Linked DNA regions of Lepisosteus oculatus. The protein of the gene in region 1 interacts with the protein of each later gene in a biochemical or structural test. Links are inferred from orthologs where the notes say so. Each region holds a gene or a part of one and is shown on either strand. Other genes may lie near its edges. The genes, in order: foxa2 and otx2b.

Evidence for each region.
Region 2: the proteins of foxa2 (region 1) and otx2b form a complex in vitro, tested with the Homo sapiens proteins (2 studies listed by BioGRID). The link is inferred for Lepisosteus oculatus from reciprocal best matches to the Homo sapiens genes FOXA2 and OTX2.

Annotation. Positions count from the first base shown.
Region 1 is NC_090697.1:10,716,525-10,732,111, forward strand, and holds foxa2 (forkhead box protein A2), read right to left. Parts: upstream 6,873-15,587; 5' UTR 6,616-6,872; coding exon 6,547-6,615; intron 5,738-6,546; coding exon 4,565-5,737; 3' UTR 4,155-4,564; downstream 1-4,154. UniProt on the Homo sapiens protein: Transcription factor that is involved in embryonic development, establishment of tissue-specific gene expression and regulation of gene expression in differentiated tissues.
Region 2 is NC_090703.1:10,051,675-10,067,856, forward strand, and holds the start of otx2b (homeobox protein OTX2), read left to right. Parts: upstream 1-9,314; 5' UTR 9,315-9,434; intron 9,435-9,559; 5' UTR 9,560-9,640; intron 9,641-13,781; 5' UTR 13,782-13,892; coding exon 13,893-13,989; intron 13,990-14,781; coding exon 14,782-14,933; intron 14,934-15,554; coding exon 15,555-16,175; 3' UTR 16,176-16,182. UniProt on the Homo sapiens protein: Transcription factor probably involved in the development of the brain and the sense organs. Can bind to the bicoid/BCD target sequence (BTS): 5'-TCTAATCCC-3'.

The DNA.
Region 1 (15,587 bases):
ATCCCAGCATTTGTTTTAAAATCAGCACAATTCCACTAGAAACACGTCTTTTGAGTGCGTATTTGAAATGTTGTAAATATACCATGTTATTATGCACTTCATATTTTTATTTCCGTTGCTCTAATTTTTATATATGTAAAATATATCCACAAATAAATATCAACTGAAGATCCACTTCTATTCCATTGTAATTCATACTTGGGTTTTAAAAATTCAGTAAATTCATTTGGTTTTGATAAAAGGTAAGGTTTGGTATTAGGTTTATAAAATGTATGAAATTTGGTACTCGGAATTTTTTAAAAAACATAATTTTAGGTATTATGCAGAAGTGATCATAATAAAACATTCAATAGATGAAGCAAAACGTTCAAAGAGACAATAGCGATGCACGAAAGTACGAAGAAACGCGACTACCTGTTAAATATTATTAAATATATATATGCATGAACGCGCGCGTGTGTGAGAGTGCTTGTATGTCCGCATTGGATTTTGAAAAGAAAAAAAAACACCGTGCGCACTTAGGGTAAGTGAGTTATCCTGATAACATCGAGACTATCAATCACCTGTTATTGTTAACTGACCCATAACAATAAGGTAAAGGAAGAAAAACCGACCTGCCGTACTGAACTGGCATATGGGTTTGGGTTTCTCAACGGTAACCCCCAAAATACGTTATATTGCTTTGAAATATTGGTACTTTTTTTTTCTCAATCCGAACTCGGAGCTATATTTAAAACAAACACTTTGATGTAGGTGATTGTCTCTGTTCTTTAACACTCCATCTTGGCATAAAGTGAAATATATATATATATGCCTACCTGGTGAGTTTGTTCGCTCAGCTGCACAAACGACCGGAGCCCAGTTTTAAAACGTCTCAGACAAGCCTACTGCAAAGGGCTCGAGGCATCCCGGCATTTATTTGAGCTCAAACTCTGCCACTGTTGACTTTAGCACAAAGCAAAGATTTCACTGCCCCGCTAGTTTAAAAAAATGATTATTTTACCGAGATATCGATCAGAGTTATAAAAATTCAGCTTAGCATTATGGCTAAAATGAAGAGAAACGAAATTTAATATCTGTGCAAATTTACTGAACTGTGACGTCTTTCTGTTCAAAGTTTGCTCTGTTGGAATTTGGTATTACATGTATATATATATATTCATTGTTTACAAACTTTGTTTATTCACGGATCGCGGGTGTTTAAAGACCGATCTGTGGAATGGAGTCGGAAAATACATGTACGGTGGAAATAAAGGGACCAGGAGCGACGCGGTGAGAGAAGTTGGACGTCCGGAATGTGAGGAGGTAGCCATGGGCGAGACACCCAAAGGCTGAGACAGGGGGGAAAAAAAACCGATCGGTTTCTCCCAGTGATCAGAATGACATCCCCGGTTTTGATTTATTCGGGGAGAACTACATCTTATCTGTTAGGATCAGTGGAGTGGGAGACACTAAGTAGTTTAAAAGTACCCCCCTGACAATGGCTGTGTGATACAGAACATAACAGGTTAGAGCATCACATTCAGCCTCCATTGTTGCCAAAGCCGCCCCATTCTCCTTCTCCCCGGGAGGCTTTTATGTGATAATGAAACAAATTTCATGCTTGGATCGCAACGTGTGTGTCCTCCCGGAGGAGAGAAACAGAGAGAGAGGGCGAGATTTCGACCCGGGGACTGCATTCTCAGGACAATGTCGAATTTAAGGAGGATTTGAATGTTGTTATGTAGGTGCGAGTTCAGACTATCTGGTGGTATACTGTGCGTGGGAAACCCGAGATACTGCACGGGAATAATACCGTTTTTTTTTTTAAATAACATAGTAACTGTTACTTAAATACGAATGCGTTTAATACATTCTCCTCTGGACGCCTCCCAGTTTTCTTTTGAGTTTTCAAGTTTTGAGATGAAAAAGTACCCCCCCCCTCCACCCCCCAATAAAAAAAATTAAAAAATTTGACATTTAAACCTTGAAATTAGGCTGCTGTTGTGAAGAAATAGTGACGTCTAAGAAATTGGACTAGTAAGGATCTAGAGTATTAAATTGTGTCATACAGAAAAAAACGATAATAGGAACCTTTCTTTAAGTGCTTCAAGGGTCCTATTATCTTGTTACAGAAATTAAAGCAGTAATTGCGCATAAAACCACAGCCCCCTTTATTCTATATTTTTATTACTGCGCTTCTAAGAAGTAATAATTGATTTTTAATCATTTCAATGAAAACTTTTAACAAACTTTTTTTTCATTCCTTTTCCCTTCGTTACAGTAATAGCGCCAAGTGAAGAACTATACTATTAAAGTCATCCTGTGACCGATTCCACAATTTCAGATTTATATCGAATCCTCACCAGTATCATCATCAGTGGTTTCATGATTTTAGGGGTCTTGTACTAGTGAATAAATCCCGAATAGCGAATTGAGCTAGAATGCTATACTCTTAACTTTTTAAGGTACAGCTAAATTAAAATTATATTTAATCAAAAGAAAAAAAGTTTTGCATTTGCAATGACATCAAGCTTAATTAAATTGATATCATTCGTCTACTAACAAGCGACCGGGTGCTGTCATCGGCAATCTGACGACTGAGCGCACCCCGTTTGTGTCCATGAATTTATTGGGCACTGTAATCGTTCTTAATCATTTTTTTTATGTTTGTTTGGAAGTGCTCACACATGTTAATAGAATGTTAATCTAGATTTTCTGAGGACTTGCTAGATTTAAGTCATCACTGCCCCAACACTAGTAATCATGAAGTGTATCAGGAAAAACATATGGGCAATAAAACCAAGTATTCATCGAGAACACTTCTCCTGTGGGTGTTTTGTCATTTAGCTGCTTTATAAGGTACAGCGAAAAGCGAGACGCACTTAATAAAGCACTGTTTCTCAGTACACTGCGCCATTTCATGGAATTTAGATTTCGCCACAAAAACGAAACTATATGCAGCATCGCTGCGTAGTAAGTGCTTTAAGCTGGACTTTAGTTTTGCTTACAACGATTGTTCCAGGCGGTTTGAACTAATCAGCTGTTGGTGAGGATGTCGTTTTATTTGTTTGACTGTAGCGGTTCAAATCTCTTTTTCTCACCTATTCCCACATCTGCTGTAGTTCACTGATGATCTTAACTCTTCTTCCTTTTCGCAGCTTTGGCTAAATGCCCTGCTGGGCTTCGTGGGGTTTCTTGTGCTTCGTGTTTCAATTCTGCAACTCACCGCGGCACCCAAAGCTACAAACACACACTGAAACATTTCACGAACTGTGAATATGATCACGCAGGTGAACCATAGCAAGAGAGTCCATGCAAGGAGTAAAATAGAGGACTTCGTTGTGTGTGTGAAATCGCAAAAGTTAACACATCAACAACACCGACAGGCCTGGCCAAATGTTTTGTTTTCTGGCGCCAAGCAGACTGAAATATTTACCCTGTCATCTTAGAAACACGTACACCTCCATATATTAAGAATATGATAACATATTTAGCATATTTAGTTTATTCGATTTTATATTTGATTCATGATTTTTTATAAGGTCATCTGAAAACTCGTTTTACCCGTATATCAACGTTAAATTGTAGGATCTAACCTTTCAATGCAAATATTTCACGTTATTTGGGGAGAATAGCGGAAGGTGTAACGGGTGTACTTTTCCAGCACAATTTCAAAAAGGTAAAAACAGAATAAGTCCCAAAGCGGTTTTTAAAATCTGTTGAGTTTCTCATTGCATATTGTTCCGAAATGATATACAATATGTCACTATTTAGATCATTGAATGCGATAGGACATTTAGTTACTTTAAATTAGGCTCAAAATAATTTTTCGATCTGATTCTTAGTTTTGCCCCTTATGAAATCCGGACTGGTCAACATTTTACAGTGATTTAGGGTGTTTTCGTAAAGGTAAAATACTTGGTTTTAATTAATAAATGTCCTAACTCTTAAATGAAGCGAACCACAACGTAACACCGTTTGGTATTGAAATAGCGAAAACTATACTGTTTTAAACCATGAAATGATTTTTACCATCGTAGATAAAAATACCTTGTGTTGTTTCATGTTGACTTTATCAAGCCATACTGATGCGTTTCAATGCTGAAATATTTTCTATATAATATGTTCGTAATTACATGAAACATAATTTTACAGAAAATAAGACCAGACGATCATGTTCCCAAAACGTCCAAGTAACACTTTAATATATTCTGCCCTTGTTGTCAACTACAAGAATACACATTTACAAGCCATAAATAAGAAATACACAAACGATAAATTATTCGTCTGAAGCACTTCACTCTCCCAAATTGCATTTTAAATTCAGTATTTACCGTGCCATAATTTGTAACATTGTTGTTTTGTTTTTTGTTCCGTTTCAAAAGCTGCGGTGGGAGTTTGAAAACAAACAAACAAATCTTGTCATATATTAACACCCCTTTTACAAAAAAAATACTAAACAAACTTGACATCTAGTAATCATTGGGAAACATCAAAAAAATATTTTGGAATGCGTGTGCACAAACTATTATTTTACAAAATGTACAAATTGCTGGAAAAGGTCCATTGTGTTGCAGAAAACTTAGGAAGAGTTCATGATCGGTCTAGAATACACACCTTGATAGTAAGACGTGTCAGTGGATATTGGCGAGGTCTCCAAGCCCCCCTTGCTGGTCATCGAGCCCATGGATAAGGCTCCTGTCATGGGAGACCCATACCCAGAGTAATGCATTACCTGCTCATAAGTCTTTAGGTCCATTTTGTGATGCTGCTGCTCCGACGACATTAAATTGTTAATGGAGAAAGGGTGGTTGAAGGAATAGTGATGCTCCGGCTTCAGGTGCGCTTCATGCGCTAGGACGGAGTGGTGTTGCGACAGCAGATGCTGCGCCTGAGATGTCGGGGACGCAGCGTGTTCGGGGCTCAGAGCCTGGCTGGACTTCATGTCCGACAGCGACCTTTTGGGCTCGGTGGAGGAGGACGCGTTGGAATTGGGAGACTCGTTGCCGTTGCAGCTTTCCGAGCTGCTGTTAGATCCGCCTTCGGAGGTCTTCCTGCCGGACTCCTTGGAGAGTTTTTTATCGCACTTGAAGCGCTTCTGTCTCCTCAGGTAGCAGCCGTTCTCGAACATGTTCCCGGAGTCCGGGTGCAGGGTCCAGAAGGAGCCCTTTCCCGGTTTGTCGGGCGACCGAGGCACTTTCAGGAAACAGTCGTTGAAGGACAAGGAGTGGCGGATTGAGTTCTGCCAGCGCTGCTGGTTTTGACGGTAAAAGGGGAAGAGGTCCATGATCCACTGGTAGATCTCGCTAAGCGTGAGCATCTTGTTAGGCGACTGCTGGATGGCCATGGTAATGAGGGAGATGTACGAATAGGGCGGTTTGGCGTGCGTGTAGCTCCTCCGGTACGTTTTCGGGTCCCTCGATCTGTTGATGTTGGACTGTCCGTACATGGGGCTCATTGCGTTCATGTTGGGGTAGGACGTCAAGGCGTTCATGGACGGCGGCTGCGCGGTCATCGGGCTCATGCTGGGGCTGAGAGCCGCGCTCATGCCCGCCATCCCGGGGCCCATGCCGTTCATGGAGCCGGCCCCGGCTGGCATGCCCGTCATAGAGGGGCTCATGCCCGTGTTCACGTACGACATGTTCATGGAGCTCGGTGTCATGGTGGCCGCCGTGCTCATGCCCGACATGCTCATGTACGTGTTCATGGTGTTCATCCCCAGTCCGGTGTTCATGTTGCCAACGGATGTGTAACACTGTGGGAGCAGGAAAAAAAAAAGACACACAAAAGTTAAGTTTTCGAATCACTGGCGGTTGTGTCAAAGGCGCTTAAAACAAACTTGGCACCACAGTTAAGTTTTTGTTTGTTAATGAAAACAAAACTTTAAAAAAAACAAAACAAAAAAAAATGGTGACCCGCGACCTATCATTGATTCGACAAAACGACTTCTATAAATGTTGTTCCTCATCCAAGCGTTGTCTTCGTTCGAGCAGAAAAAAAAACCCAACTCGAATCTTACATGAAACGTATTTAATATTTTCAGGATAATCAAACAAATGTGCTTTCAGCGGCTAATCTAAAATGTATAAAGAAGTCCCATGAGCGAAACTGATTTCCTCAAAGATTCTTTTCACGAGTTCTCCTTAGAACGATCACAGGACGTGAAAATATCAAATTGTACAGAAAACAATACAGAAAGTGTAACAGAAACCGAAAAAGAAACATTGAATGCATATTCATTAAGTAGTGAATGCAACTCGACAGCACTATATAGCAATTACATGTGTATTTTCCACTACAGAATGAAAGAAAGCAATCCTTAAAAAACAAATTATCCATGACTTGTATGTAAGCAGATGAAGTCAGAATTCCAGAAAAAAAGTTTCTTCTTGCATGCCAAGCCCAACTTTGTTAGGATAGCGCAGCTCGGAGATCGGGGAGGATTTGGAGACGCCTCAAGTCAATATTTGATCACAAAGTTAATATTATCTCAGGGCTAATATTGAGTTGTATAAAATGGGATCGGCTTTAGGAGGAAAAAAAAAATATATATAAGCTACCAACCTCGGGCTCGCCGTAATAGGTGCTCCAGTCTGAATGCTCGTGTCCTTCCATTTTAACTGCACCCAGCATTGTGGAAGCAGCGAATCCACCCGGTCAACAGCTTCTCTGGAGAAGGTTTTTTTTTTTAAAAAAAGTTCTCTAGAACAAGACTTCGGACCAACGGTAACCCAGATCGCTGGTCTGCTTTCTACTCGGGGACTCGAGCATGTGTAGATTTCAGACAGTGGTGCCCAGAGGCGCTGAATAGCGTCTGATGATGACAGGAGCTGAAATGACGTTGGTGTCTGGCTGTAAACGCTGTGATATAGCTCTGTGCGCCAGGCGAAATCTCCAATCCCTACTTCTGCGTTGCCCTATTTGAATAATCAGCTCACACCTAGGCGTGAGACTCCCCGGCTTGGCCGCCTATTGTACACCTGCGCTAACTAAAAAGAACAAACCCCATTTGAAAAGATTCATTATAACCTAATCTGATTGTTTTCCAGGAGAAAAGAGTTGAGTTTAAACTGTTGTTGTAAGAAGGCTTTTTATCATGCACTTTTTTTCAGCAGACGGAATTAGGAATGCAGAGAATTGCCTTCTTTTTGACCTTTTTTTGTTTATTGCCAGGAGTGTGGTCTATATTCCCTGTTAGAATCGTCAGAAACAAGACTAGATGTTCACTTCTGCTGTAAAGAATCGAATTGTATTCCATAACATGAGGTCAAACACGAGTAACTTTTCCTTTTTTTTTGTTTTATTTGACTTGAATTTGTTACCGCTTACAATACTGGCTAATAAAACATTTTTAAACAATGCTTTTTATCAAACGCATTGTAATCTCAATAAAACGTGTACGGATATCTCATTTCTTCCAGTTTCAGCTTTCCCAATAGACGATTTACAAGTGATTTTATAAGTATTAAACTACAGTTAATAAATCCTAATATTAGTCGTAGAAGTGTGTTAACATTCATCTACTCATTTCAGCCCTTTTGTCCTTCTAAGGTCATCGTCATCGGATAATATTTTTTGCTCTAATTCGTTTAATCACTATTTTAGACCGAATTCAGACCTTTAACTGTACAACCAATTCATCATTTGCCTGTTCGGTATCATTTTTTTAGCTTGGCTAGTTTTGGCCTAGAGAAAACCGAAAATCTGTTTTTGAAAAACACTATTTCCAAGGTTTGTATGCCCATGACATTTCGCAACTAAGTAAACTAAAAACGCAAAACGAATTACACAAAGCACAACGTGGACCTTGTTTTATTTTCTCTGAAGAAAACAAAAGGAAACATGAAATAGGATTTATGAGTGACCTGTCACCAAAAACAAGCGGAGACAATTCCCCGGTGGACCAATTTTAAATTTGAGCAATATTGGAAGTTATTTATATCAAAATTATATTTCAGCTACATTTTCACAGAGAAATCCAGTTTTATTTTCTCAGTTACAGGAGCAGCATTTGAATTTAGACTCATCTCGCACGCAGCCGCGTCGCAGATCACGAGTCATCATTTTATTGATTCTGGAGAACCCGCAGGCTGTTTGATATATTAAACAAAGTAAAGTTTATTTAATGTGTTTGACCATCAGAGATTTAACAGATCTCTTCAGCGATGGCTGATAAAGCAGGCTTCAGAAAACACTAACATTCTTTCAAGTGAAATTAATCGTGCTATTTCATTGCTAATATATTTACTTATTACACACACCAAACGGGAGAATTCTGCATGGACGCAGTTCTTGGAGTGCCGTAGAAAATCGCTGAGCGTGGATATTACTATACTGATGGTCTTTGAATGTATTTGTAATTTCATATAGAATCAACACGATATCTAGCAGCATTTCACTATGTTTATTGATAATAAACGAGTTCTTTGAGTTCTTTGATAATGATTATGCATGTAAAGATTCGAAGAATTCAGGATTTGAGATTCGTCAACAAAAATAATTTCTATAGTAAACTATACAATTCCTTTTAAATCAAGAATAGAGATATTTTTTTAATTTCGATGGAACCGTATTGAGCCTTGAACCCCAGTACACATATCTTCATACATATTCCATAAGCTTCTCGTTCTAATTTGTCGTTAGAAAACACCGACCGTTCTAAGTAAAAAGAGGTTTTCAAATATTATTTATTAATGATACTCTTGATAATTTGAAGAAAACCAATCTGGGATTAATTCATTTGAGAGCGCCCTCTTTTGGAAATAATACAGAACACAAATGCCTTTATGCACAGGTGGAAACACTGTATTTGTGAACTCGCTGCCCCAGACATCAACGCGGAAATAACGAAACAAATCCGTATTTTCAAATGATTCATTACCGTTTTAAGTACTGCAGTCCTGGAGTCCCGTGATCTATTTCTTCTCTACCTCTTGCGTGATTTTCAGCCTTTTCAAGGTAAGCATGCAATTGTACTGTAGGTATTTGTTTCAGAAATACTCTTATTTCACGACAGCGGCTTGTGTAAAAACAACAACAACTTGCTCTCTTCGCTCAGAGTTCGCCTAGAGCGCCAGCCTGTTTTTACAGGACTCTTTTTGAGGGTCTCCCCAACAATGTCTACCATGGGAATCTAAGACCACCACCCCTCACCCCTGCTCTGAACTGCTCCTCAATTCACTGTATAGATTCTGGGGATTAAGATGCAGGTAACAGTAGTGAGAAAGGGCTGTGCGATTAAGGAGTCTGGTAAAGTGGCAACAATCCCTGCTGTAGATTTCTTCTGTCACACAGATGGCACAGTGTTGTGACCTTTAGCACGTCTGCCTCACAGTTCCTGGGTCCCAGGTGGGACTTTGCGTGTGGAATCTGCATGTTCTCTTCCTGTTCAGGTGGATTTATTTGGGAGTTCTCTGGTTTCCTCCGCCTGTCCAAAGCCGTATTTTTCTGCCATCTCTTAATTGGCTCCTGTATCAAACTGTGTGCCCACTGCCTGCCAAGTTAGGTTCTCACTTGTCATGACCCTGTGTGGGACTAAGTTGTTACCGAAATGGATGGATTATTATTACATATCACATTGGCCAGCCCTTTGTCCCATCTGTCCCACTTGTATTGAATTCTGCGGCAAATAACTTTTATTCTACCAAGTCTTCCGTATCCTCCACGTCTTCCATAATACCGCTGTGTGAGCTAGTGAGAGGTGGCTTTGTGCGAGAGCCACATGTTAATTGGAAAAACCTGGAGAACGAGGCACAGCTATTCTGCCTGAGTAATTGGAACTCAGTGGGAGTGAAATTCCACGTGAGGGAAAGGAGCTGCCAGTATAGGCTCTGTTTGGGATTAACCACACCTCTCGGCTAATTAAAAGGTCACTTAAACCAGCTAGGAGATAAAGGGCTTTAAGACGTTGTCTGCTCTGCGGTCTGGAAGAAGTGAGACTCAGAGCTCTGGAGGCAAATAACAAAGTTGTATATACTTGACATGTAAAGTATAAAACAAAATGCCTTAATGTATAGGGAGTAAAGCATTCCTAAAACAGTATGGAAGACAGTCTCCCAGGTCTTCAGTTCTGTACTTTGGTCCCGTTGCAAACACATGCAATCATCACTTGCAGGTGTAGATGCAAGTCACAGAACTGTTCAGTGTGCAGGTGTCACGCTCGCCTAACGACTGTTGGAGGACTGGATGCCTTATTTACTAGGCAGTGTTCCGGTTCGGGCTTTTGTCAGAAGGGGATAATAGAGATGTGTGACACTGACCCACCTGTCTAGTGCCTTCGTAGTTATATGTAGATGTCCCAAACATGTCCCATCACTGATGTTACAATCAGTAGTGTAGTGTTTCAGAGGTGGCCTGATGGTTTTTCTGTAATATCAGAAGCAGTTAGCAACAGTTCTTGGAATAGTCCATCTTGAAGTACACCTGGTATTTTATACCACTCATAACTGGGTTATCATGGTATCCCCCTGTGTGGGATAGAGTCTTTCCATTTTTGAAATTGTGAATGCTGAATGTGTTTTCTTTAATACTTCAGTTCTCTGGGAAAGAACATACAGGAGGGATTAGACAGCATTTAGGGCTGGGCAGATCTAGATAGAATACATGCGATTCTAGTTATTATTAGTACTACTAGTGGCCCAAACAGTTTAATAAATTCAGACACATATACAGATGAAAAATAATTGATAAAATCATAGATATAACCAGATCCCTCTGAAAAAAATGACTATAATGAACTACAAGCACAGGTTATGCAATGGATGGTAAATCAATAATAAAGGTTTATTCTGTGTTACAGTAGTAAAAGAAGGGTGAGGTAAAGTGTTTCAGGAACAATGATGAAAGTATAGATTGTAGAGAAAGGCTGAAAGAACTAAACCTTTTTAGTCCCGGTCAGAGAACTTCAAAGGCTCTGATGAAATCAACCCACTAGACTTCTGCAGAATCAAAAGTGAAACATGAATCAAAGGATAGAAGTGGAAACTACAAAAATAATACAGTGATATGCATTTACTGTAACCCCAAGAAGGGTGTCACTTTTTACATACAGCATTATGGGAGTCTTAAAAAAGCTAACCAACAATGCCACTGAAGATGATAACCCGGCTTTTTCAAGAAACGACTGAACAATATGATCAAATAGCTACTGGCAGCCAAATGAGTTAGACTGGTCAAACGGACTCCCGTTTTCAATATATCTAGCGTAGTATATATTGCATTCTGAGTTGTGGACCACACAACAAAAAGGTTTTGTTGCCTTTGAAAGTGATTAAATTAAAGTGACCAGAATATTTTTGGATTGTAGAGGAACATCACGTACAAATAGGAAAAAGGAACTGAAACTCTCCAGTCTGAAGCAAAACTGATAAAAAGTCAGGAATGGAAATGATAAGAACAGCCCAAAGATAAAAAAACATATAGAGTAACAAGTGGAAATTAAGGGGAGAAATGGGGAGGATTTAATATGGGAGACACTGATTGGTCAGTCAGTTTGTTAAAGTGAATATTTTGAAATCCTGCAAGCAGGAGTTTATACTGGGTGAAATTTTGTGATTAATTATCTACTAGAAATCATAAAGTCATAAAGTCTAACAGATGGAATTTGTAAACCTTCTTATGTTCTCATGCTTTTAATTGTTGGATTAAAAATCATGATACGGCAGAATCAATAACTGTCATAATATAATACCAAAACAATCTCTTATCAATGCAGATGTAACTGTATAGTAATGACAGACAAAATCTTTGACATCTCTCTATGACCGAACCATAAGCCAAACTGTTCCAAAAACACAGGCCAGAGATTTAAAAAAAATAACTTAATCTCATGAACAGAATCTAATGAGAAAATGAGGTTTTGTGATTCTGAACATTTGTGACTTTTAGTTTTGTTGACAAATACCATTCTGCTTGCAGAACGTGTGTGTAAGTCTGGATGTGTGTTTTACTGGATTCCTGAGAACTGGGTTCCTATTTTTTTCAGGAATCCCTGAGCTCTGAAAAGTTCCCCAGCTCAGTGTCATTGATCGGCACAGCAATTTCCAGGATAGTGTGTTGAAACCGTTGTGGGGCTTGGAAATGATGGGAAAGTGTTTGTTTACATCAATAACTAAAGCGCTTATGCATGGGTGGGGAAGCAAACAACGTACAGTACAGTTAGACTCTACCGCCTATTGATTCCCCGAGGAAGACTGAGTGTGAAAAGGCGGTGGGATTGAAACACCTCAGTTGTGTACATTTAACATCAGGATTCAGGACTTCCTGCAAGCGCTGTTCCATTCAAGGCAGATGACTGACACTGGCGTCATACCGCTGCTCGGGGTCTGAAAGCTGGTTGGCTAAAGCCGTGCTGTGTGTGTTGTGTGGAGAGCAGTACGTTTCTGTTTGATTTCCTGTTCTTGTCCTGTTATGCAATGGGCTGTTTTTTTTTTTTGGTACAGCGTGACCCATGACTATCTGGCATTCTGGGCTGTTTGTGCACAGATGGGCAAATTAGTGCAAGGGAGCTGCTACAAGTAGGACAAGGTCTGACAAATAAATGTGAAGCTTTAACCCCCTTTACTGTTCAGGGATTTGCCTCCAAAACATCTGATTTGAAACAATTTTATTTTTTAAATCGCATTTAAAAAAATCAAAAACATTTTTACAAGCAGACATTACACTGTAAACCCAAATTCAGTCAAGTTCCAGATGAAACCTTTTCTGTTGAACTTCTAAAGATCCCTATATTGTTTTTTTTTCAAATGTCCAGTTAAAATAGTTCTTTACTTCTTTATCACAGAGTTCTCTAAATCAAATTGTTAGTCGGCATTTGTGTGGAAGATAACTACAGATGTTATCTTCCATGCAATCTTTAGGTATGCTATAAACCTTTGAAACCATTTTAGAAATGTTTTTATATAAACTCTCTACTTCAAGAAGACTTGACAGCTGAACTATTTTTTTTCTTTTTACTTGTCAGCGTGGAGTTAAACTGTGCTTGTTCATTTGCAGCCATTTGCAGTTTTTGTGTCTGTCCAACCATAAATCTCTTAGTCACATTTGATATCATTTTAGATATCAGTCAAAAGATCATTGTCTTACAATGTGCATGGAGGGAAGACATTTTGGAACAAAAGTCCACTTTAAATTAGAGACTTCTAAAGGCATTCAAATTGCCTATATTGCAAATGTAATAATAACGACAGCTCATGATCTCTTTTATCTGTAGCTCACGCAGAAGATAGCTAAATACAAATTATGTGAAACCAAAGCAGCACCAACAAAGATTGAAGTTTTGTGCAAGATGCTATGAAAAATTCCAATAGTGTTGTTCCATTTATGAGGATTTTGGATAAACATTTTCTTTGCTACTAATAATGTCTTCTACTGGGATCCCCTTCATACTTATGTATCTATAAAATATATAAGATCATAAGAAAGATTATAAGTGAGAAGAGGTCAGGCTCTCCATCTAGTACATGTGTTTGCTAGAAGATGAATGATCTGAGGATCTCATCAACCATTTTTTGAAGACAGCATTATCAACTTCACCATTGCCTGTGTGGCTTCTTCCTATAAACCTTTGAAAGAAAAAGTTTTTTTTCTCCCATTTTTAATTTCTCAGGAACGTTCCTTTAGTTTCAACTTGTGTTCTTCTGTTCGTGTCTGACTGTGGATTCTGAAGAAATCCAGTGCCTTCAGCCTTGACAAACCCCTTGACGATTTTGATCATTTGAATCAGGTCTTGTTATAGTCTTCTTTCTCTGTGTAAGACTGAAAATTGTCTGTCGGTGAAGGTATTCCTTTATTTCCAGGAATGTATCTGGCTGCTTTTCTCTGGACTGGTTCCAGAACAGAAAAACTATTGTTTGTAACAAGGTGGCCAAAACTGTACACAATATTCTAAATAATAATGTAGTGTATATATATAACATCTATTTCTTGATTTTAATTATACATATTGAATATACTGGGTAAACCTAAAATAAATATTCTTCATGTAAATATGTTATAACATTTTGTTTCCTTTTTATTACTTCCCTGCATAGTAGAAGGTGATGTGTCAACATAAAGACATGTTTTTCTTCACAGATAGCTCCTTTAAGTTCAGTTTTCCCCCTCTTACACCTTTAGTTTGTTTCTGCTACCTTAAGATAAAATAAGATCACTTTAGTAGGCATACACAATTTCTTGCATTAGGAATTTATTTTTTCAGATACCCTAGCTTGCTCTCCAGGAGACACAGAGAGTGGGAGAGAGAAGCTCAAGTTAAGGGCCAGTCTTGCTCAGGGGTCCAACAGAGTAGGATTCCTCTGCTAGCCACAAGATTTAAACCAGCAGCCTCCTAACTACAAGCGCAGATCCTTAGCCACAGTACCACTGCTCTGCCCTAGACATTCAACTCTCTCCACCTCTCTGTAATAAATGTAATCAGGTGTTTGTTCAGTCTTGAGTCTTTTTTAATTTTGTTGACCATGTCTACTGTATATTGTAGGCTAATCCTCTCATTTGGTACCAGGCGTGAACCTGACTAGGTTAGCAACTGTACCCAAAACTCGATCAGGGTTGCAAAGTCAGTTCTTTTGTGTCTTTTGGTTTTTGTTCCAGCCTGAGTAGAAAAGTTTGAAAATGAACCTATTTTCTAAATTAAACATTCTCAGTATTTTGTAAATAGTTGACACTAGATTACACAATACATTTCATTCATTTCAATTACAATGACCTGTAAATCACTGCAGAGTTGAATTAGAAGTGTTACAATTATTCAGCTAATCAAACCACTCCAAGTATGGAACTCGAAACTTGATTGGAACAAAAAAGAGATCATACCAGGCCCATAATGGTCCATGCTGATTTCCATGGTATTCCAGTAATAACATGTCCCCTATCCTAAGCCTTAACCCCTTACCTGCATACTCAGGCATCTGACCAGCGGCCATCAACTGACCAGTTCTCATTTCAAAAGCACGCATTTCCCTTGAACGTCGACTGCCTGCAATTTAAGAACGAATCTTTCACGATAACCCTTAGCAAATCTTGATGTCCAAAAAATCTTAATATTCCGTTTCCTATTTTGTGGCAGATCTCATTACCGCTGATGCTGGGACAAAGACTTTTAACAAAATAAACAAACTGCTGTTTCTCAATCCATGTTGACTGTTCCCTGGATTTGTTGGGCTATATACTGTAGATGATCTTCTAATTAAGTTCTAATTGTTGCTTCCAGACCCTTACACATAAAGATCATTCAGGCTTATTAATCTTTTCTAAATTGGTATGGTTCCGCGGTTACCTGTTTTTTTTTTTAAGTTGAAGGGTATTCCCCCCTGTCTTCATTGACTTTCAATTTTCGTTAACTAAGAAAAACATCTCTCCTTTCCTTAGGAACACCTGGTAGAATGCCACCAAACACTGAAGATTTGTTTGTCATCAGTGGTTCTTAAGATCATATCCACAACACACCTGACTCTTCTGTCCTTATACACAACAGAGGCTGCACAGCATCAGGTGGTCAGTTTCTTCCTTGGTAAACACCTGAATGAAACCTTTAAAGCTGCTGCTGCTAAGTCTGAAATCCAGTCAATGAAAACTTATTTTTTTTCAGATTTTGCGGCACAAAAATA
Region 2 (16,182 bases), on another chromosome or scaffold:
TGACCTCATCCAAGCCCCTGCTGGAAAGAATGTCATGCAAAAAAGAAAAATGAGAAAAATGGAAAAGTGGGAAAAACAGTTTGGCTAAACGAAGGAGGAAAAAATTCTCATCTACAGTTTTCATTATTTCAAACTTTTATTGGCTCAAGAGTTTTTGGCAGCCCTAGTAGGGCGAGTATTGTGCCACTTTAGCTTGTGAGCGATGTGAGATGCAGACGCGTGTTTAACCCTGTTGGCTGGGGGAACAGTCTGGCCAGGAGGACGAGACCATCGGAGTCCCACGCCAGGCCTAAGGAGAAAAGGAGCTGCTCCAGGAGGTGAAGGGACAATGATGGGAATGCTGAAAAAGGCAAAGGGAAGGTTTTGTTACCTGTACCGATCCTTAGCTGGGCACGGAGGAGAGCTGGACCTATTCTAGGGTGAGACTTTCATTGCCAAACACTGCCCTGTGTGTTCGGCAAACACACCACCTCCACTCCTAAGGCTCAGGCTTCACTCGATAGGGAAAAAAAACACACACGCACACAGACATGAAAAATACGTTCCAATCCATTGTTTCTCCCAAATACTGCAGCTCAACAGAAGCTCAACCACTTATTTAAGTTCTAAAAGATGTGGCATTTTGTGATACAGCCCTTGCATTGAACTCTGAAAGTGTATGTGTTCTGCCGTTTCTTTGATATAGGCGATGGAAAAGAATGGATTATCCACTTCTCATTTTAATTATACCATTGAAGCGTTTATTTTGTCCATTCAAATGTCACACACAGGAAATGGCATCTGTTTTTTTTAAGCTCTGCTTCTTTAAGAAAGATCAAATATTACGGGAAAAGAGCTGCAGTGTAGTAGTGTAAATTTTACTACGAGAACTCGAAATGATACTACAACAATATTAATTATACATTTTTACCACAGTTCAGGGCACATGTAGCCAAAAGAACACACCATGCTAATTACTGGCATGGTACCACTATAAGCAGATTGCCACATTGAAACAGCTCTCAGCCACATCTTTGTTTCCTTAAATTCACCTTCTGGATGTGTGGGGAGTGTTTCCTACAGCAGCGTTTGTCATTGTGAGATTCGCAAAGCCTTGTTTTCTGCTGGAGTTCACATATTGATATTTAGAAGAGGGAAGAGAGATTTAATTGAATCCATTTGTTTGTAGCAAGGCCCCTGTGCAAACACAAAACAAACAATTACAATGCTGATTAATAACCATAAAATATTAGTGGCAGGAAATTAATCCACAGCACAAATACATAAGCTAATACACAAACACCTTACTTAGGCCTTTAAAGTTCACTTTTAATTTCAGTGTTACAGTATGCACATATTTCAAGAAAGCAAAACAGATCTATGCCTTGTTTGGCCAGTTCCTTTATGTCGACTCTTTATTATTCCAAGGTTAGGAAATTAAAATACTTTGTTCACAATCTTGAATGTATTTTTCTGACTTTCTTAGCAAGTGGAAGAAGGATGGCAACGTTATTAACCTGGCAGCCAGTGTGTGAACTGTACGATACAAAATAGACAGGTGGTATTGGTATAGTCCTAGTTTTCAACGACTCACAACAATGCAGTGTTAATGTTACAAACGTGAGTGCTTCAGCTTCATTTGAGTCACCCTCCTCTTGCATTACGCTAGCACTTTTTCCAATGCCAATACTTTGTTGAGATCTGGTGGCTTCCCTCTTTTGAAATCCAAGGCAGAAAGCAGGTAATAGAGGCAACTGAACGAATGTGGCGAACTTAAAATCAGCAGACAAAAGATCTCCGACATTTGCAAGTGCAATGTAAACACCAGATGACAAGCCTTTGGTGTTGTCTACAAAATCTCCAAAAATATCAAAAAAGAGAATACAAACAATGGAATACATCAACACATATCCGTCTTGAACTGGGGCACAAAGGACATAACCTTTGTTTTTGCCGAAGGGAAGCATTTGGATTTAATTATGTGCTTGGGGTTGACAGTTTATCTCCACAAATTGAAATCCCTTTCGTAGGACCTCTTATGTCTAAAAGATGGCTTAATCTAGAAAGTGAAAGGCTCCCTGCTGTGTCTTATGTTGTGCTATAAAAAAGTTGCAGAAGCATTGTGTTAGCCATAGCCCTGGCTGTCTGAAGGATCACCAGTATTTTCCTTTGAGGTCTTGTGAACCTGCAACATTGTCACATGAGGGATCAGCTCCTTTCCCAGTGACCACCACATTATTGCATGCAGGGAGAGGTGTGTGCGGAATTCTGAGACTCTCCGTCTACAGTAAATGCTAAAAAATCAAGGCAGACCTGCCTGTGGTAAAAGCTAATCTGACTTTTGCAAAAGTCTGATCATAACGTTTTCCTCCTAGGAATCGAGAAATAATTGGAACGGAAACATCTGTCACTTTTTTTCCTTTTTGGGCTGCTTCCACTGATCTTGAACAAGTCTGATTGCTGGACTGATTTGTTTCGTTTGCTGTTTTGATCTGGTGTGACTTTGCCATTGTCTACTTTAAGCGCTTTGAGAAGCCACCTTTAAAGGCGCTATATAAAATAAAGTTTATTATTATTATTATTATTATTACTGCCGGTAACCTCCCTAGGTTGGCTTTGTAAATAACACCTTGTTCCTAAATGGTTAGTTCCAGGTTAATGAACATATAACTAACAGAGAACTGTGGTGAATTCATCGTGATCTTCAAGTTTCTGCACTGATTTGCGTCTTCCTGTCTGTGTTGTAACTACCAGCTCATAGTCACCGTTTTTTTCAAGTATCAGATAGTGCTCTTGTTTCAGCACGTTTGTAAGCAATACAGCTCTCTAGTTTGACCCTCCATCATTCTGCCACCCAGCAGAAATATTCCGATTGCATCCCTGCTCCAGTTGAGAAGATGTGATCATGGAGATGGAGTGCACCAAAGAGACCTAACTCTCCCCATTCTGCTTTGGTATAAACATGGCTCCTATCTTGTTTTAAACCAAAAACATCAGACCAGGATGTCCTTCCATCTGTCAATATATTTGTCCAGGTGATGTTTGCAGCCTAACAAGGATGCTTAATGTACAACAACATTATCTCCCTTTTCCTGAATACTTAAACTCAGCCAGTCAGATATAACAGTGTCAACACATCAAGACACCACACTGTTAATCTATTTTTTGGGCATGGAGCGGGCACTAAAATTGGATTCACCATTTATTTAGCAATATTCTTTTTTAAATGCATTAAATGGAAAAAAAAGTTGGCTGCAACTTTGAAAAAAATGCTCAATCGTCATTTATTTTGTTTCTTTCAATCAGGTAAATACAAGTATGATACAGCAGAAAGGAACTCTACCTAACCTCAGATACCGAACAACGTTGAAAAACCAAGGAGAACAGACCGGTGGCTCAAAAGTTCTCTTCAAAGACCACGTCTCACCGTCTCCAGCGAGAACAGCAACAGTGTCTCCGTGTTGCGGAAAACAGCTACGTGTGTTTCTATCGGTCTGGTTTGAAGGTGAAGGAAGACTGAATCAGGCTGCCCTCGGCCTCTCTCTCTCTCTCTCTCTCCGATTGTGTGCTTGGATTCGAGAGTGTTTAATCTTCTCTCAAAGAGCTATTGAAATACACTGCCCTTTCAATTAAGTGCTTTCTTGTTCTGGGCCCTACCTCGTGTTCTTAATGAAGACACGTTTCATTTTCAATATTTTTTCAATAACATTAATATTGCGCCGGACGGGAGACTGAGCACCGGCGGCGCGGTAATAAACTTGTGATGGGGAAATTGTTTAGGCATGTGTGTAGGGTGGTGGGGGGGATAAAGTTACTAATGGGAACTGTGGATGTCGCTTAAAACCGATTGCATCACGCTAACCACAACTGGACAGAGGGTACCGGCTCCCTTTTTTTCAGTATTCGAGACTGTGATTTTATATTTATATCACAATTAAAATATAAATGAACGTTACCATTTTAATCTTAATCTTTATACCAACCGGATTTTCTTGGAATTTGCTCAAAGACAGGAGACAAGACACAGAATGCAGAAATTAGTTTTCTTTCGAAAGAAAATGAAAAGTAAAGTTTGGAATGCAATATCGTATACTGTATGTGTCCATGTGATACGTAAATAACGTCTGAATCCATGGTGCTCGCCGGCATCTCCACTCGGATTGAAACGGTATATTCGAGAGAGGGTCCTAAGGCTCTTTTTTAAAACGCAGGTCCCTGCAATCGCCATAACTTCATCCCAGTTAAAGTTATTTAAAAGGGTGTCCGCGTTCCCATAGACATCGCAGGGTATGTGTCTTAAACTAACACGTAAACCTAACAGATCAACGGTGTTTTCTTTCAAACAGGTAATTTGTACTGACGCTCTTTCCAAAATGAGTCCCGGAGCCCTCACTGAAGTCTCAGACAAAGAAGAAGAAAGGAGTTTTAAAAATCATCCTTATCCCGCAATCGTCAATTAGTCTCTAATTGATGTTAATCCCGCTACAATATTTATTAAATATTTTATTATGAATAGTAGTATTATCTGCATTGTCATGCTGACCCTGATCTCTAGAACAGGGGTGCTGGAAGACGTTTATACTTCAAAGCATCCCTCACGGTCCTGTGTTTAACTCTTCAGGTGTACAGCTTGATACAGAGCTGTTCTCTGTAGCGCAATCAGAATTTATGTTTAATACGGAATCCCGGTAAACATTATGTGCACGCAAACCGTTCAGGAAACTCCAGTGAGATCATTTAATTTGAAATAAAAAATACAATTGATGCGATGATAACAGCAGGGGCTGGTGGCGGGTGTTGTAGTGACGATGAAGAGAATTGTAATACTGTAGCTATCCTCGTTTTAAGATTCTTGGTATATTTACGTCATCGTTTTATATTTAAATACTAAACTGGAAAATAACCCATGGTATGTTGTTTGCCCAGAAAGCCCTACAAACAAACAAGAGCAATCAAGAGATGGGCTGCATTTAGAAACTAGCAGTTACTACTAATAAATCTGTCATATATATTTTTTTTTAAATACAATACTTCAGTTCAATTATAAAGTACGTTATTGACTTAAATGTTTCAAGTTGGAACATTTGTTTGACAAGTTCTATTCAGTTTTCAGGTGCTACTCGGGTGTTTTATATGAATAAACACAGCTGCCAACTTTCTGTTAAAGTTCACATTACACACAGTTCACAGACTGCGGGATTACAGATTGCAAAATGACTCCAATTTAAGAAAATCGTAACGTCAGCACGAAGTTACCTTGACCTATACTATCGGCTCTGAAAAGGGATATATAATTTACATGTTAACGTTGCTTAAATAATATCAAGTTAATTTAGCTGACAGGAATGAGTTAAAACATTTTGGATCTAGTTGAGAGTTTGATATCGATATTTCAAACTGGTTTATATATATCGACGAACGCTCGCACTAAACGTTATTTTTCCCTTTACGGTTTAAGGCGACGGCAACGTTGGAATAGCTCCGTATAGTGATATTGTAAACCTTGTTGTCGTCGCTCCAAAATGGAAAAGGCTTCCAAAAAAGAAGGCCTCGATTTTGAAATATTATTTTAAATGCTTTGTGTTGCTCGGGCGCGTGAAGAAAGGGGATAACTTTATGTGGGAACTCTTTACGTGAAGTGGGACAGGATTCCCAGGAGTCTTAACCCTACAATTCGTTTTCCATAAACCGGGATAAACAACGACTTCTTCAATTAGCCGCGAGGCAGCGGGGTTACTGATAGCCGCTGGCGTTAACACGAGGTGTGCGATTTCGTTTTCCCGTCGTTCTCCTTTTTAAATATAGAAATTCCCCGAGGCGGTGTGGTATTTAAAAATGAATAATTTATCAATTTAGCTCTAAAGAGTCGGTGCGGGTTACATCCGAGCTATAATCTCGAGCTGCGTCAGGCGAACTGGACGCTGGATCCTGCAGTCCAAAACCGTTTAAGATTAAACCTCTCAGAATGTTTTAGTAGTCGACTAACAATAATCACAGGTTATCATTTTCATCTAGCGTTTGTAATGGAATATTCATGGAATTTCCTTATGAGATGTAAATGCTAAAATTAGTAAATACGTAAATAGTAATAAATACATAGTAAAAAAAGAAAATATAATATGACAACTCAGTGAATTTAGGGGGAAATGGTTTCATATAATGGTTGCATATAAAATTAATGATGTAAAGGTGTCATCGTATATGTATATAATTATTGCCTTTTCGGAAAAAAAAACGTTATTTTTAAAACGTTTTCAAGCTGATTCAAATAACAGCTCGTCGAAATCCAACTTCATGAACTCTCTGAATTGCGTCTTGTTTTCCATAAAGTAAATAATTGTGCCGTTCTTCGGACAGACGATCGAAAATTTAAGAAGAAGAAAAAAAACAGACGACTGTAAATGCATTTTAGATTCTGTGACAGGTTGGGTCCCTCTTTCTGTTCCCTGGCTGCCGGGGTGTGGAGAGTTTATTGGAAGACAGTCCTGAAAGAGTTTGCAGCAAACAAAGTTGCGAGGCTGTGAAAAGAGCAGCAATAACAATTAGCTTGTTCGCTAATCCCTAACAAAACGCGACCTGTCCCCGAGCGCTCCGAGAAACTGCGGGCACGCGGGGGGGGTTGGGGCTGAGGGAATCGGGGGAAACGGGGACAAAAGAGGCTGATCCGTGGGCCCCTGTAAGAGTGGGTGGGTGACACACAATGCAAATAATCCTGGTATAAAATTATATGGAGTTCCTCCTTTTGCTGTTTGCTTTTACGCAGCCGTTGTGTTTCGGTTCTAACCAAATGTTTTATTATTATTTACAAACTGGAGGTATGAGCAGGCAGACACGACTGATACGGAGACGGACGTGATGGATTGATTTGATGAAGTACGTTAACAATGGACTGACATGTAAAATCATACCCTTTTCTCTCCCGTCCTCTTCTTCCACTGATGGTCTGATAGTGACCGAACCTCTGAAGTTGCTAGCAGTGAGCCTCGACGTTCGCCGCCAAACTTTTGTTTCCATCGCAGAGGAAGATCAGTCCTCTTACGGAAAACTTAGCTCACGTCCTATCTGAGACCTTTTATTTCGTCCTGCCTCTGATTATTTCAACGGTGATGATTAAACCTCGCACCGCACGCATTTCAGAATGGCAAACGGAGAGTTGAGAATGCGTGAATTTCCTGCTCAAACCGACCGGGGGTTTATGAAGCTGTGGATTCCGGCTTTGGGTTTAAAACCTAAATCTATATTCAAATCTGACTGAGGTGTGTGTGAGTGAGAGAGTGAGGGAGAGAGAGAGGGGGGGGGAGCGGGGAAGATTGTGTGGGATGTGTGTCTGGATTTCTCAAAGCTTTCTAAAGAGGATACATATACCAAACAGTGACAAAATCCTCCCGATTTGTTTTTGTGGGGATGCACTCGTTTCACAGAGGACTGGAGGTTAAGTGGGGGTTCGAAGCAGTCGCTTCTCTCGTTCAAACCCTCGGCAGACAGTCATTTGATATCCCACCTGAAAATGCCATCACTTTAAATTATTATTATTAAAATTATTTAAAAATATTATTGTTGTTGTTGTTGTTGTTGTTGTTGTTAATATTATTCACTCGTTTGCTTATAGCGTTCGCTTTGCTTCATGTTGATACACTGATGGAAAGATCGAAAAACTATTTTGGAATTTTTTCTCCTATACATTTTCCTCTTGGATTTTTTTTTCGTGGACACCAGACAGCTCAGAGTGACTCCGAGCGGGATGTCAAATTCCTCCCTTATCACGCCTACCTTTGGGAACTCATTTCTAGCTTTGAAATACACATACGCTCAGAAAGAGCACGTATAGATGAACTACCGTGTTTTATGTAGGCCTAAATATGCTTAAATTGTAATATTATACAACGTAGTTGAAAAAAGTAGAAGTTCGGAAACTTGTTCTACTTTATTAAAGCACGTGTCAAATGCCAGAACATAAATTAACTATCCATTGGTTTTGGGTATTATTTCTTAGATATTGACAACTTCCGCAACCGTACTTTCTATATTATTATTATTATTATTATTATTATTATTATTATTATTATTGTTGTTGTTGTTGTTGTTGTTGTTGTTGTTGTTGTTGTTGTTCCCTAATAAGAGTATATTTCCTCAAATTTCTAGCGATTAATCAAGTCATATTACCGTCTAAAAGGTGATTTATAAAATAATACAATACAAGTTAGACTGTTCCACTGTAAGCAGAATCTATATCCGACACAAAAAAATCAAATCCATACATACCTGAAGTGTCCTTTGCAATTCCCCCAAAAAGACAGTGGTTGAAATTAAATCAGTAAATCATCGCCCATCTCTGCTGTTCCCATCAAAGAACTTCACAGGACCTTCTTAAACGTCCTTGTTCTTGTCTGAGAAGTGGGCACCTCCAGGTTTGTGTCGCCATGTATCTGTCGCAACAGAAATCCGTGGCAAGGTTTGTAATGTGCAAGTTTAGCGCTATTAAAAACTCTTCGGGCAGCCCCTAAACACGCACCGTCCGGAGTATATAACCTCAGCAACTACATAGTTGGGGTGTTTCAGGAAGTTTTCAGTCTTACCTGCACTAACTTCGCTTCCTTGGGAATTCCCAGTCTCTCTTCTGAAAACTTCAACTACAGTATTCCGTCGCTTACTCGCTTGTCATGGGGCAAAAGCAGTGTCGGGAGCAGGGCGTGACAGTATATGTTCTTCAGAGGGTCGCCGAGTCTCTAGATCTGTATGGTTGCTATATATATAAAAAAAAAGAAGAACAAATTCTACCGGTCTGTCTTTCCCCGTGGTGCACACTACGATGTCAGTGAAACCCTGGTTTAGGTATTTAGGGAAGCCGTCCGGTGAGCCGGTTGAGTCCTCGGGGCGCGAGTGGGGGGTGTTTACTGCTGTTTTTAATTAATCGTGGGGTTCAGGGGACGTCATGCTCACCTTTCTTCTCTAGAAAGTCCTACTATCTAGGACTGAAAACAATGCCCTCTGTTGTCCCTCAGAAGACGGTAGTAGCGGTTGTATTTATGGTGTGTGTGTCTGTGTGTGTGTGTGGGGGGGTGTTTATAGTAAAAGCAACATTTTAAAATGTGTAGATAATAAATCCATCAGGGGCTCCCATGTATCCGCCGCCTCTATCAACCCTGACCCAGGAGGACTGGAGACGTTGGACGACAGCAAGACCGTTCTCTCCCCCCCGTAGCGCTATTGCGCTGTACACTGGCGTGTTATTATTATTTTCCCTTCTCTGACTCCGAACTGGGTACGTTGTCAATCAGGCTCTCGCTGCCATTGGCTGGGGAGTTTGCGTCAAAAAGTTGCTGGTGAGATTTGTCTCTCAGCAAATCTCCCTGAGAGAGAAACAGACCTCAACCTTCCAGCCTCTCTCATTGGACGGCGCGCTCTCTCCAAGCCCAACTCCGCAACTTCGACAGAAAGATCAACAAATCGCTACCGTATGTATTTTCAATTCTTCCCCAGGATTTCGCCACCGCTTCGCAAAATGTCGCGCAAAATGTCCAGGCTTGAATTCGCCTGATTTTTCTCTTCTGCTGTTTTTTTTTTTCTCTCTTTCTTACAGGATTTCCTTACTTTCAAGTTTTTTTTCGGGGGGGTGGGGGCACAAATCGAATTTCGGCCGAACCCGCTCCCGGAAAATCAGGTAAGAGTCATTCCCGTGTGTTTTTGAGGACTGTGTTTCGAATCCCTTTTTTTTATTATTTACGGCGTAGAAGTGCAGCACTCCGTGGAGATTTTTTTTCGCAGGCGGTTGTTTTAGAAAGAAATTGGTGGGCGATAAAATAAGTTTTAGTCTATTAAACGAAGTCTGTCTTGAAAAAATACACGATCGGGAATTAAAATGGCTATTTTGCTCTGCATAGTAATCAAATCAAATCTTTGTAATCCGAATTAGCTTGTAGAAAAACTAGATTTCACGGCGGTACATAAGGCAACCGAAAACTCAAGCCTACTGCACAACGTGTTACCTGTGAAACCGCTTGTGCTTTTAAGCCTGGAAATAAACATACAAGGATGTATCATGAACAAAACGGTTTACTGTGTTTTCGAATTTTGCTTCCACTAAACGGATTTATAAAAGCAAATAGTGTTGTAATAATCGTTTTACATTGTTAAGATATTCAGAAACTCCTGGCGCAACTTTCGCCTGTTCGTATTTTCTTCCGAATTCCGCTGAATGTCCCCACTTGTAATGGAAATACAGGCGGACAAAGAGCGGTAATTGAGGAGGCGTGTATCGGAGTCTTTCTTCCCCGAGTAGTCCTGCTCTCTCCGCCCCCCGGCACCCCGATTTCCACTGCTGCTCGCCTGTCCCCCCTCTCCGGCAGAGCGCGGGCAGGCAGGAAACCGTGCAGGAATGGACCGGGTCAGACAGTCTGGGCTGCACGCCTCCGTTTGCGGTCCACTATTCCTTTAGATCCTTCAAACTGAGATATACTCCCCGGTCCCGAGAATCCCGTTTCCGCCCAGACACGGTGATCGATGCAGAAGACTGCAAACGAATAGTCTGTATTAACGCGGTGCTTTAGTCATCACGTAGTTCGGCTACTGTGGCCGCCGGTGGTATCCTGGCAGTCGTTAAATCGATCAAACGAGGTTTTTTGCTGTATGAACCGAAAGGATATTTTAATTCTGGAATATCTAAACTGTTTCTGTGGTATTTCGTATGGCGTCGATATATAAAACGAACACATAAAACTGAGTTAGAAATTAACCCTTTTCTTTCGTTTAACTCGCCCTGAGAAATTTTGATTACTGCCCAGTCAAACGGGCTCTGTGCTTCTTGAAATTGCTCTTCCGCTGGAAATGCAACTTTCATGTAAACGAATTAAATATTGGGTGTTTCTTTACACGAATCCCGCATGCCATTTGTATCAGTACAGTCTACACGCGCAAAATAGACTTTTTGCTCAGTATAAAAACGTATCTTATGAAAATTAGACATATGTACATGTAAAATTATACTATATAATTTTCATTTTGCTGATGTAAAAACATAAGATACGTACAGTATATATACATTTGGATGTAGCCTACAAGATTAGCATATATTTGAATTAAATATCGTACAATATATGCATCGAAGGGATTTTCAGTAATATGTGCTATTCGTTTTTTTAAAAGTCGGAATAATTGTGTTGTTGTTGTTGTTGTTTTGTTTTAGAAATGTATGGAATTAAATTGACTTACCCGTAAACCAGTGGTGAATTTATATTCCCCGCTCTTGTCTGAGGGCTTGTACCTTAAGAATCTCCAGACACATTAACACATTTTCTAAATAAATATAGGAACGCTTGGGCTCTGACTGACTGACTACTCCCGCTCCAATCTGGACATGGAAAAAAAAAACGTTTACAGAAATACAGGCCTTTAAAACAACTGCGGCCGACAATCGGCTAGGCTGCGTTTTTGATCAACAGAATGCCAGTCTATGGTTGTTGTTTTTTTTTTGTTTCATTTTCATCAAGCAGAAAATTAATCAGCCCAAATGCGCTGCAGAGTCGAGGTTAGCGTCCTGTAATTAGGGAGCGCGTGCCACCCGGATTATCTCGTTAATTTATCAAGAAAAAAACATTTATTATAATTAATTCTTGGACAGGGTAATTATTATTGAACGGGTGAGGAGCAACTGGTAGACGAAGGTCTGTGCAAAATAAAGTGACAGATTGGCCCGGTTAGCCGTTAGATATAAAACGTGCAATCGTGGCCTCTTGCACTCAGGCGATCTCCGCTCCTACCAGTTCCAGCTCTGCAGGTATGAACCTCCGATTTTTATTCACAAACTGGAACTGAATGGAATTGTGGGTGGGACAAAACTGGGGACTTTCGGAAATCTTAAAATTAATACTCCTGGGATGAAAAAAAAAGTGTTTCCTGTTTAATGTCGTATCTACCTGAACTGTAACTGAATACAGAACTAGTCTTATTGCTTGGCTTTAAATGTCCTGGGAGAAATAAGACAATCGTATGTATATTAATTATATAGTCGTATTTTTGCGTCATCTTTGTTCATATTTATTTTAGATTTCAATTATGTTTTGGCGTCTTCAATCCATTTGCCTTTTCGAATATTTTGACACCAAATCTATTTTTTTATAACGTGCGGGATAATTGCAAATTAAATTAACGATTTCACGCACACATATACTTGTATGTTAGCACTAAGTGTTACTGACTTCTTAAGAAAAAGGGTTGTTCGTCCGAGGTGAGTAAAGGAGTTTAGTTTATCTGGACTTTTGTGGGCTGTATTCCTCTTACCTTTACAGTGTAGGTATGGTGTTGCATTCATGGAGTATACAAGAGGCCCAGAAAAAAAAAGGTTAATTATATCCAAGGAAAAAAGGTTAATATTATTTTTAGTGTATTGTTTAACTGAACTTTGGGACAAGTTTCCTTTGAGGAAACGTGTGGTTTAAGATTTTATAGTCGCCATTTTGAAGATTCTCAGTGGCTCCGGGAAACTTGTAAAACACAAAAGTGATGATATCATGGGAGGGATCAGATAATATTATTACAAAAATCTGTCTTAGCAGCACTTGAGAAAGCTGATTGTTGCCGCGAGGGGTTGTTATCCAGTACGCCGTGGTTCCTGAAAAGTTCTAAAAAGTTGATAATTAATCTATTGCACTGGCATCGTGTACGGTGACAGTTATTCTGAGTTTTCTTAAAAGCTGAATTGTGTCAAGGGTTTTTTTTTCTGTGCAGCAGTTTTGTAATTATGTGGTGTAATGTAATTATATATTATTTCAATGCGGGTATGATTCCTGGAATTCTTTTTTTGTAAAAAAAATCAATGTTATTTCTTGTTATCAACTAAGGTTATACAGCTCCCCATACAACCAAGGTAGATGTTAAGATTTTTCCAAAATCGTTACCCAGTTCGCAAGTTGTAGTCGGTTTTAACGCCGTAAATGAGCCAAGAGGTGCTGTGAAAGCGCGTAAAGAATGAGTTTGTAATTGAAAGTTGATTGTTTGTTTAACGCAAGTCTCTTTAAACACTTCTAATCAACACCTGTCGATTGCCTAATAAACTTCTTTTGAAATCTTCAAAATGAAATTACCGGAGGCGTTAATAGTTGGAAATGACGAAGAGTAAAAAAAAAAGACAGCAGCATGTCTAGTGGAACTGCAGAGTGAGAGAGTTGCTCAAGTTTCTGGTTATTTGCTGAAGTACTGGTGTTTCACATTTTAATGACATCCTATTTAAATTGACAGCGATTTCTATTATGTAGACAAAGCCCGCAGATATAATTAAAACGAAGAAGCGGTGCTAGCTTAATGGCTACAAAATGGGGAGCGAAGAGTTTTCTTCATTGTTTCTTTGTTTCTCGCCAACGGGGCTTTTGTTATCAGCATTATTTATCTGGCCAACACCGGCCTTTGTCTCTCCAAATGGCCCCCAATCAAGTCTACGTTGGAAACAATTAGCTGGTCCGAACCTATGGGTCCCTATGCAAATTGTGCTCCTTGTTGCTGCCCAGTGTGTCTGCATTTGAACGAATGTGTTTTGTTCTCCGAGAAGGCGTGCTGCAATTATGGGGTGTAGCTTGCTTTTTTTTTTTTTTGGGACACGTTTGTCAGGCAAGAGCATCACTCAGTTCACTGGGACAGCTGGGGGTCCAGGGCCGCTTTAAGAGCACAGTGCGAGCAGGACGGCGCTCATTCTGAACTTAGCGCCAGCAGCTACAGGAACAGCGAGCCCATCCCGCAAAGAAGCCGAAATCAGAGCAGCCCCTTCGGCTCACACGCAGCCTCCGCGCTTCTGTTTCTGATTTGTCGGGCAGGTACTCACCTCTCGCCAGCCGAGGGCCAGAAAGAACCAGCGAGGACTCCGAGGGGCCTTCTGCTTGCTTTTCGCCATTTTTGCCAATTTGTCCCTCCGAACCAACTTTAGCATGATGTCGTATCTCAAGCAACCACCTTACACAGTCAATGGGCTGAGTCTAACTACCTCTGGGATGGATCTCCTCCATCCGTCCGTAGGATACCCAGGTAAGCGCGCTCACTCTTCGATTCGCTATCAGGGTGCGGGGTTTTTACTTTTTTTTAATTTAGGGAACCATTTTTTTCTGCTTCTAAAAGGATTGTAATTTTTTTAAATTGTTTACGAAACGAAGCGGCGAATTTCTAAAATGTCGTCGTTGTTGTTGTTTGTTTCTTAATGGACTGATTTTTCAGTTTTATATTCAGGTAAAAAATATTTGTACTCGAGATCCACCCCCCAAAAATACACAGTGGATAAATGTAAAAAGTGTTTGGTTCTCTTTTAAACTTGACAGGACATTAATAATTTGGCAATTGAGTAGAATGATATAACAAGGCCACATTGTAATTGTAGAAACTCTATGACCAGAGTTTTTTTTTAATGTAGCTTATTTTTCACCTAACGCCGAAGGCGTTAACATTTAACTACTTAATAATAATGTAGTAACAGAAACGTACATTTCTTACCGATTTTCTACAATTTTAAATAACCCTTTAGGAAAATTGAAATTACATTCATCTTTTAATTGCGCATATGCATTTGTGTGTTGGGGTATGAGCGTATAAAATACGCATGTTTATTAACGATAGTGTAATTATATATGATTTAAACAGTGTTTAAATATGAATTACCTTGTGATGACTATGTCGAAGCTCAGCAAAAAAAACAACTTTTCGGATTTTAACAAAATTCACAATTTATCTGCACACTTTTGTGGCTATTGGTAAATTCCCAAATTATTTAAGCATCACGCCCGGCCTCAAACTACATGCACTCGAATGTATTTTATTCATCTGCAGCAACGCCTCGGAAACAGAGACGGGAGCGGACTACTTTCACCCGCGCACAGCTCGACGTCTTGGAAGCCCTTTTCGCCAAGACTCGCTACCCGGATATATTCATGCGCGAGGAGGTGGCTCTGAAGATCAACCTGCCCGAGTCTCGTGTACAGGTGAGCAGGATCACCGCGAGAGCACAGGGGGGTGATCCCGCCACGGTCCGTGACAAACTCCCCCTCCCCTCCATTTTTCCCTTAGCAGCCTCTGGGGAGAATCTCAGAGAAGCTTTTAATATGAACCCTATATCCCCCTTCAGAATAAACCCAGTCTTGTACAGTGTGTGTGTGTTTTTCAATTGATTGCTCTAATCGCCGTGAACAGGGGCTCTCACACAAAATTTAATTTAAAAGCAGAGACGTGGCTTAAGAGGGTGATTTTAAAGTAGAACAGGGACACTCTCAAGTTGCGAGAGGTAGCTGAAGCAAACGAGTCATGAAACGTGTGATTATTGCTATTAGTAATACTTTATTGTTGTCCATAATATCTTAGTTCGTTTGTGATCTAGCACACCTTGAGTTTAGCATTCAGGACGCACTCGATTTAACAGCGCTATATGAACAGGATTAGGATAATTATTAAGGGGGTCACAAGAAATGCCACTTATGTTTTAGACAGTTTAATAAATCGTGGCACCACTTCCTCTGTCATTATTTTGTATTTTCACTCTATTTGCGTGCACGTTGGTTCCCCTGTTCACTCGCCAGTTCTGTGACCGATGCGCTGCTGTGTCGTAGGTTTGGTTTAAGAACAGGAGGGCGAAGTGCCGACAGCAGCAGCAACAGCAGCAGAACGGGGGCCAGAACAAGGTCAGGCCGGCCAAGAAGAAGAGTTCCCCCGCCCGAGAGGCCAGCTCCGAGAGCGGGGCGAGCGGCCAGTTCACGCCGCCTTCTAGTACCTCCGTCCCGGCCATCTCCAGCAGCAGCGCGCCGGTGTCCATCTGGAGCCCGGCTTCTATTTCTCCCCTCTCCGACCCACTGTCTACCTCCTCCTCCTGCATGCAGAGGTCCTACCCGATGACCTACACGCAGGCGTCAGGATACAGCCAGGGCTACGCCGGATCTACTTCCTATTTTGGCGGGATGGACTGCGGGTCGTATCTTACTCCGATGCACCACCAGCTACCCGGGCCTGGATCCACCCTGAGCCCCATGAGCACCAACGCGGTGACCAGCCACCTCAACCAGTCCCCGGCGTCTCTCTCTGCCCAGGGCTACGGGGCATCGGGGCTAGGATTCAACTCGGCGGCAGACTGCTTGGATTATAAAGACCAAGCGGCCTCCTGGAAGCTGAACTTCAATACTGATTGCTTGGATTACAAAGATCAGACCTCGTCTTGGAAGTTCCAAGTTTTGTGAAAGAGAA